2 linked regions of the Callithrix jacchus genome follow. The protein of the gene in region 2 binds, or shares a complex with, the protein of the main gene of each other region. Links are inferred from orthologs where the notes say so. Each region holds a gene or a part of one and is shown on either strand. Other genes may lie near its edges.

Region 1 (3,818 bases), on a different chromosome or scaffold from region 2:
ATATATATTTTGTGTATGATGTAAGATAAAGTCTCAGTGTATCATTCCCCATATATTGTCATTTGCCTGAATGCTTTTTATAGTTGTCTATTCTTTCCTTGTGATTTTTAATGACACTTTGATTATATACCATGTTTTAATTTACATGTAGTTCTATTTCCACACTCAATTTGTTGACTTTTCTCTGTGCCACTACCATACTGATTTAATTATCATACATTTGTAGTAAGTATTAATATCTAGTAGTAGGGATAGTATATCCTAAAGAAATATTTAACTTATTTTGCATGTTTTTGTCTTTATTTTTTTCATTTAGGTTTTGTGAGCATCCCGATAATGTCTATAAAAATCCCTTTGAGATTCTGCATGGGAGTTTACAGATTAATTTGACAATATTGCTGTCTTCATTCTATCAATTCTTCCCATTGAAAATAGCACACATACACCCACTTGACTGGGTCTTTTAAATCTCTCGATAAAGTTTTATAAGGTTCCCTTTAAAACTCTTAAATATATTGTATTAGATGTTCTATGTGCTTTGTAGTTTTGTTGCTATTGGAAATTACTATTTTATGTAATATTTTTCTCTCTTGGAGTGGTGCTAGAATAAAGGAATGTATTTCTGCATATTAATCTTCTAGTTAGAAACATTGTTGAATCGTTGTTTATAATATTTTATTATTTTGGTTACTATACATAAACAATCATATTACTACAAGGTTATTCTGGACAAGATATAAAAATAGATCAATGGACAGAAGAAAGAATCCAGAAATAGACCCACTCATATTTGGACAACTGGTTTTTACAAAGATACAAAAAAAAAAGTCTTTAAAGAAAGAACAGTCTCTTTAACATACGCTTCTGGGAAAATTTATATTCATATGAAAAATAAATGAACTTTGAATCATCCCTCACTACATACACAAAATAACTCAAAACAGTGCACACACCCAAATGTAAAATATCAAGCCATAAAATTTTTAGAGGAGAACGTAAAATCTTCTAATCTTGACATGGAAAAGATTTCTTAAATATGACACTGAAAGCACAATCCATGAAAGAAAAAATTGGTTAATTTTACTTCATCAGGTAAATGTATATGCCGAAATTTATCAAAGTGTATACTTCCAATATATGCACTGTGTTGTATGTCAGTTATGCCTCGATAAATCTGTTTTTAAAACAACAGGAAAATGTATTGTTTTCTTTTTTGTGGTTGTTTTTGGTTTTTTTGAGACGGAGTTTCACTCTTGTTGCCCAGGCCGGAGTGCAATGGTGCAATCTTGGCTCACAACAACCTCTGCCTCTTGGGTTCAAGTGATTCTCCTGCCTCAGCCTTCAGAGTAGTTGGGATTACAGGCATCCACCACCACGACTGGCTAATTTTTATATTTTTAGTAGAGATGGGATTTTGCCATATTGGCCAGGCTGGTCTCAAACTCCTGACCTCACGTGATCCGCCCACTTCAGCCTCTCAAAGTTCTGGGATTACAGGCATAAGCTACTGTGCCCAGCTGATATCTCCTGTTTTCTAAGAATTCCAGAGGTGTTGTATACTTTCTGAAAATGTCTTTCCGGGGAATAGTGACTACCTTGCTTAAGAAGTTCTTACCTATGTTCCACTCAAACCTCTTACTACTGTAAACATTTGTTTATTTTTCTTTAAAATATAGTAACAGCTCACCTTGCTTCATTCTGAACATAGAATCACTTTTGGTGGTGTAATCTTCTATGATTTGGACTCCTTACAGGCGGATCCTGAAGTTCTTAGATGGAGAGTAAATATAAGGAGATACTCCTGCTAACGGGCCTGGAGAACATCACTGATGAAGAACTGGAGAGGTTTAAGTTCTTTCTTCCAGATGAGTTTAATATTGCCACAGGCAAACTACATACTGCAAATAGACCACAACTAGCTAACTTGATGATTCAAAATGCTGGTGTGGTGTCTGCAGTAATGAAGACCATTCATATTTTTCAGAAGTTGAATTACATGCTTTTGGCAAAACGTCTTCAGGAAGAGAAGGAGAAAGGTAAAGTGGGATCCTGCCCTGCCCAGTCCCTTTCTTCGCCAAGCCTGGGCCTTTCCTTTTACGGCGTCCCTGGGATATGGCCCCCAGTGCACGTTTGTTGGAATTTGTTTGCTAACTTAGTGCACTTGTCTCTTTGCCTCCTTTTACTGAGAATCACCTCTAGGAAGTGTTTGGTACAAATTCCACAAATCCATTCCATCTTCTGTTGGCATCTCTTGTTCCAACGCTTAGAGTTACCACTTCCATTTATCGTCTTTTCTCTTTGCCTATCTGTCTCCAGTTCAATTGCAGTGAACTTGGATGTAGGATTTCTTTTTCTTTTTTTTTTTTTTGAGACAGAGTTTCGCTCTTGTTACCCAGACTGGAGTGCAATGGCACGATCTCGGCTCACCGCAACCTCTGCCTTCTGGGTTCAGGCAATTCTCCTGCCTCAGCCTCCCGAGTAGCTGGGACTACAGGCACACACCACCATGCCCAGCTAATTTTTGTGTTTTTAGTAGAGACGGGGTTTCACCTTGTTGACCAGGATGGTCTCAATCTCTTGACCTCATGATCCACCCGCCTCGGCCTCCCAAAGTGCTGGGATTATAGGCGTGAGCCACCGCACCTGGCCTTGGATGTAGGATTTCAAAGTTAACATCCCCCAACTCCATTTACACAGTATATAATGCGCTCACATTTTACTGAAGTCATGAAAATATAAATAAATTATTGCAGTGGAAAAGCGTAAACCGGGATATTGAGCACCTTTTCTCCTTCACACAGTCTGTCTATTCCTCTCCTGTCCCCAGCTTTCTGAGGACCCAGAGTATCCTTCTTCAGGGAATAATCTCCTCCTTCTATTAGGGGATTCTCTCTCCTATCTCCAGTACAGGTGGCACTATAAATTACCCACAACACAAAGGTTTTTTACATTATTCAATAAATCACTCATCATCTCCATCTACATTTAGTTTAAATCTCGTTTAAATTTCTGATTTTGTTTGCTAAGAAAATTGATATGTCCCGGCTTTATGTCTGAAGAATAAAAGAGAGGTAACAAAGGAGCATATCATCCAAGGACTCTCCCAAATGAGAGTCTCCAAATGCCACAGTTTTAGGATTCAAAGTACAGCTGTAGGCCGGGAGCAGTGGCTCACGCCTATAATCCCAGTACTTTGGGAGGCCAAGGCGGGTGGATCACGAGGTCAAGAGGTGGAGACCATCCTGGCCAACATGGTGAAACCCCGTCTCTACTAAAAATACAAAAATTAGCTGGGCATGGTGGTAGGTGCCTGTAGTCCCAGCTACTCGGGAGGCTGAGGCAGGAGAATTGCCTGAACCCAGGAGGTGGAGGTTGTGGTGAGCCGAGATCGCACCATTGCACTCCAGCCTGGGTAACAAGAGCGAAACTCAGTCTCAAAAAAAAAAAAGTACAACTATAACAGCAAAAATTACAACAGCTTTTAACAGCATTTGTGAGTGTATAACACGGATGACATCACTTCTCAAACATGACTTATAGGAAGGCTAAATGAAGCCATGAAAGTGATACTATGTACGCTCATAATTCTATACAGATATAAACTGTTTGCTAGTATCTAAGGCACTGAAGAGAAAGGACTGCTTGTTATACATTGTATTTTCCCAGGCTATGTGAAGTTAGAAGGTGTAGTTCTTAGACATGGCCCCTAGATGGCAGTAACTACACGTTGTTTTGAAGTAACCAACTGCTCTTTTTCTTGTCTGGGATGAGACAGGAATCTAAGCATATTTATTGGCAAACATAGGCGGAGAATTTTA
Region 2 (3,818 bases):
GTAAGGCCAGAGGGGGCCAGTGGCCCATCCTTCCCTGCGAGGAGGGTGGGAGGAGTGAGCAGGAGTCCCCGAGGTTCTGCTGTGGTTCACAGGGCAGCAGGGATGGCCACCTGCTCTCAGGGGGCAGAGGGGTAACCAGCAGCCACGGGTGAGCTCATCCCTGTAGAGGGAGACCACCCCCAGCAGGCAGGGGTCAACTCTGAGGATCCTGACACGCTTTCTCGTACTCACCACAAGATGGTATAAGGCAGCCTACAAGGGTGACTATCACGGAGAGGCGGGATTGAGGGAAGGGGAGGAGAACACTTTTGTCCTTGAGATGGTGCCTCGCTCTTTCGCCAGGCTGGATGCAGTGGCACGATCTCGGCTCACTGCCACCTCTGCCTCCCGGGTCTAAGCAAATCTCCTGCCTTAGCCTCTTGAGTGGCTGGATTACAGGCGCATACCACCATGCCTGGTTAATTTTTGTATTTTTAGTAGAGACAGGGTTTTGCCATGTTGGCCAGGCTGCTCTCAAACTCCTGACCTCAGATAATCTGCCCTCCTTGGCCTTGCAGAGTGCTGGGATAATAGGCATGAGCCACCATGTCCAGCCAATAACACTTTTAACTGTAAATTCTTTTGAGTGTCTCTGTGTGTGTGTGTGTGTGTCTCTGTGTGTGTGTGTGTGTGTTGTGTGTGTGTGTTGTGTGTGTGTGTTGTGTGTGTGTTGTGTGTGTGTGTTGTGTGTGGTGTGTGTGTGTGTTGTGTGTGTGTGGTGTGTGTGTGTGTGTGTTGTGTGTGTGTGTGTTGTGTGTGTGTGTGTGTGTGTGTGTGTGTTTTTCCAAGACAAAGTCTTGCTCTGTCGCTCAGGCTGGAGTACAGAGATAGAATCTAGGCTTGCTGCAACCTCCACCTTTCAGGTTCAAACAATTCTCCTGCCTCAGCCTCCTAAGCAGCTGAGATTATAGGTGCCTGCCACTGAACCTGGCTCATTTTTGTATTTTCAGTAGAGACAGCGTTTCACCGTTGGCCAGGCTGGTCTCAAACTCCTGACCTCAGGTCATCTACCTGCCTCGGCTCCCAAAGTGCTAGGATTACAGGTGTGAACCACTGGGTCCAGCTGTTTTGTTTGTTTGTTTGTTTGTTTGTTTTGTTTTCTGTTCATTTGTTTGTTTGAGATGGAGTCTCACTCTGTCATCCAGGCTGGAGTGCAGCGGTAGGATCTCGGCTCACGGCAAACCTTCGCCTCCCCAGTCCAAGTGATTCTCCTGCCTTAGTCTCCTGAGTTGCTGGGACTACAGGCATGTGCCACCATGCCCAGCTGTATTTTATCTTTTTAGTAGAGACGGAGTTCCCCATGTTGGCCAGGCTGGTCTCGAACTGCTGACTTCAAGTAATCTGCTTGCCTTGGCCTCCCAAACTGCTGGGATTACAGACATGAGGCACTGGACCCAGCCGAGATTTCCCCATTTTATAAGACGATGTTTATATAGGATTAGGGACCCACTCAACTCCAGTGGGACCACATCTTAACTAACATCTGCAAGAACTCTATCTTCAAAGAAGATCACATTCTGAGGACTGGGGGCTAGGGCTCCAACATATAAATTTCGGAGGGGACACAGATAAGCCATCACACCAGATTTAAGGCCATTTTCCCAGAGCTAGCCCAAGCCATGCTCAGTCTGTTCTGGAAGGTTGCAGCCAATATTGCCTCCTGTTCTGGAATCTAGGCCTCCAAGAGGCAGAAGAAGCCCACCTCTTAGCCACCTTCAGGAGGTGGGCTTCTAGGGGTTCCTGGACATACATGTCCACCCACAGACCCCTGCACCTCCCCATCCTCCACTCCCCAGAAACAAACTGAAATGCTGAAGCAGCGGGTACAGAGGAAGCTGGAGCAGCTGTACCACTTTCTGGAGCAGCAGGAGCATGTTTTTGTGGCCTCACTGGAGGACCTGGGCCAGATGGTTGGGCAGTTCAAGAAGGCATACGACACCCGTGTATCCCGAGACATTGCCCTGCTTGATACGCTAATTGGGGAGCTGGAGGCCAAGCAGTGCCAGTCGGAATGGGAGCTTCTGCAGGTGGGTGCGCCTGGGCCCAGCTTTCTCGGGCTCCCTGTGCCCATCAGGATGCCTAAGGCTCCCAGTTCTGCCATCAGTTCTACCGGAGCCAGTGGATGAGTCCCCTAAGGCCTGATCTTGGTGACCCACAATGCCTCTTGTGCCCAGTCCCCTTTGATGAGGTGTCACAGGAGTCCAGGGTGGCCCAGCATCCAGGGGATCCCTGCCATTGCCCAGAAGGGATTAGCAGGGTTTGAGGGCCATTCCCTTGCAGGCCTTGCTACCTGGGATGCCTGAATTAGAATTGAAGAGACGGGCTCCACTCACTGACACCCCAGGGCAGGGAGCTCCGGTATAAGTGCAGGGGGCAGCTAAACGTCCAGGAGCCCAGGAGTAGAGGCCAGGAATCCGCACAGCCTCTAGGAGCCTGGTAACGAACAGTTTCCTTCTTCTGTCTTCTAGGACTTTGGAGACATCTTGCACAGGTACAGAGCGGTCCCGTGGTGTCCCCTGGGGTGTCTTGCAGGAAACATTTGGTAGAGACAGTCCTAGGACGGACCTGGGAGGGAGACGTTCCCAACTTACGGCGAGGAGTCTGCGACTCCAGACTCCTCTCTTTTTCTGCAGCTTCCCAAAGCCTCTCTGGATCTGCACAGGGAGAAGGGGATCTGGTCAGCAGGCAGGCTGACCAGGTGTGAGGCTGCAGACTGGGAAGGGTGAATTCAGCCTATCCTGTTGAAATGGGATGGAGGCTCCCTAAGAAACCATCTGAGTGGACTGTGTTCTAAGCAACTCACCTTCTGAAAACTGCCCCGCAGGCCTGCTGGTGGCCTTGGAGAGCTTGTTTGGAGTGGAGCTGGGGTAAACCCAGCAGGAAGGGGAGGAAAGGGACAAGAAGAGGCTAGGCCTTAAAATCACTGGGAGCTTTACAAAATCCCAATGTCCTTTTGTGTCTGGCTTCTTCACTTAGCATGATGTCTTCAGGCTTCATCCATGTGTCAGAATTTCTTTCTTTCTTTTTTTTTTTTGAGGCAAGAGTCTCGCACTGTCGCCCAGGCTGGTGTGCAGTGGCTCCATCTCGGCTCACTACAACCTCCGCCTCTCGAGTTCAAGCGATTCTCCTGCCTCACCCTCCCGAGTAGCTGGGCTTATAGGTGCCCACCACCATGACCAGCAAATTTTTTGTATTTTTAGTAGAGTCGGGGTTTCTCCATTTTGGTCTTGAACTCCTGATCTCGAGTGATCCACCTGCCTTGGCCTCCTGAAGTGCTGGGATTACAGGCCTAAGCCACCTCGCCCGGCCATTTTTTTTTTTTTCCCCTGAGACAAGGTCTCACTCCCATTACCCAAGCTGGAGAGCAGGAGCACAGACACAGCTCACTGCAAACTCAACTTCCTGGGCTTAGGTGATTCTCCCACCTTAGCCTCCTGAACAGCTGGGACTACAGGCAAGTGCTACCACTCCTGGCTAATTTTTTGTATTTTTAATGGAGATAGGGTTTCCCTATGTTGCCTAGGCTGGTTTTGAACGCCTGGGCTCGAATGATCCAGCTGCCTTCGCCTCCCGAAGTGCTAGGATTACAGGCGTGAGCCCCTGCACCTGGCCTATTTTCTCCTGTTGTTGCTGTTTTCATAATGGCCATCCTAACGGATGTGAAGTGGTATTTTGTTATATTTTTTCCCCTTAATTATCATTTTTATTTCCATAGAAAGAAAAAAAGACTAGGGAAGTATAATCCATTTGCCATAGATAATTCTGGTAGATAATATCAA

The links.
Region 1: MEFV (region 2) and AIM2 share a complex: the UniProt entries of both Homo sapiens proteins name them as parts of the AIM2 PANoptosome complex. The link is inferred for Callithrix jacchus from reciprocal best matches to the Homo sapiens genes MEFV and AIM2.

Annotation. Positions count from the first base shown.
Region 1 is NC_133519.1:19,055,705-19,059,522, reverse strand, and holds part of AIM2 (interferon-inducible protein AIM2), read left to right. Parts: intron 1-1,754; 5' UTR 1,755-1,774; coding exon 1,775-2,036; intron 2,037-3,818. UniProt on the Homo sapiens protein: Sensor component of the AIM2 inflammasome, which mediates inflammasome activation in response to the presence of double-stranded DNA (dsDNA) in the cytosol, leading to subsequent pyroptosis.
Region 2 is NC_133513.1:5,396,703-5,400,520, reverse strand, and holds part of MEFV (pyrin), read left to right. Parts: intron 1-1,835; coding exon 1,836-2,066; intron 2,067-2,507; coding exon 2,508-2,530; intron 2,531-3,818. UniProt on the Homo sapiens protein: Involved in the regulation of innate immunity and the inflammatory response in response to IFNG/IFN-gamma.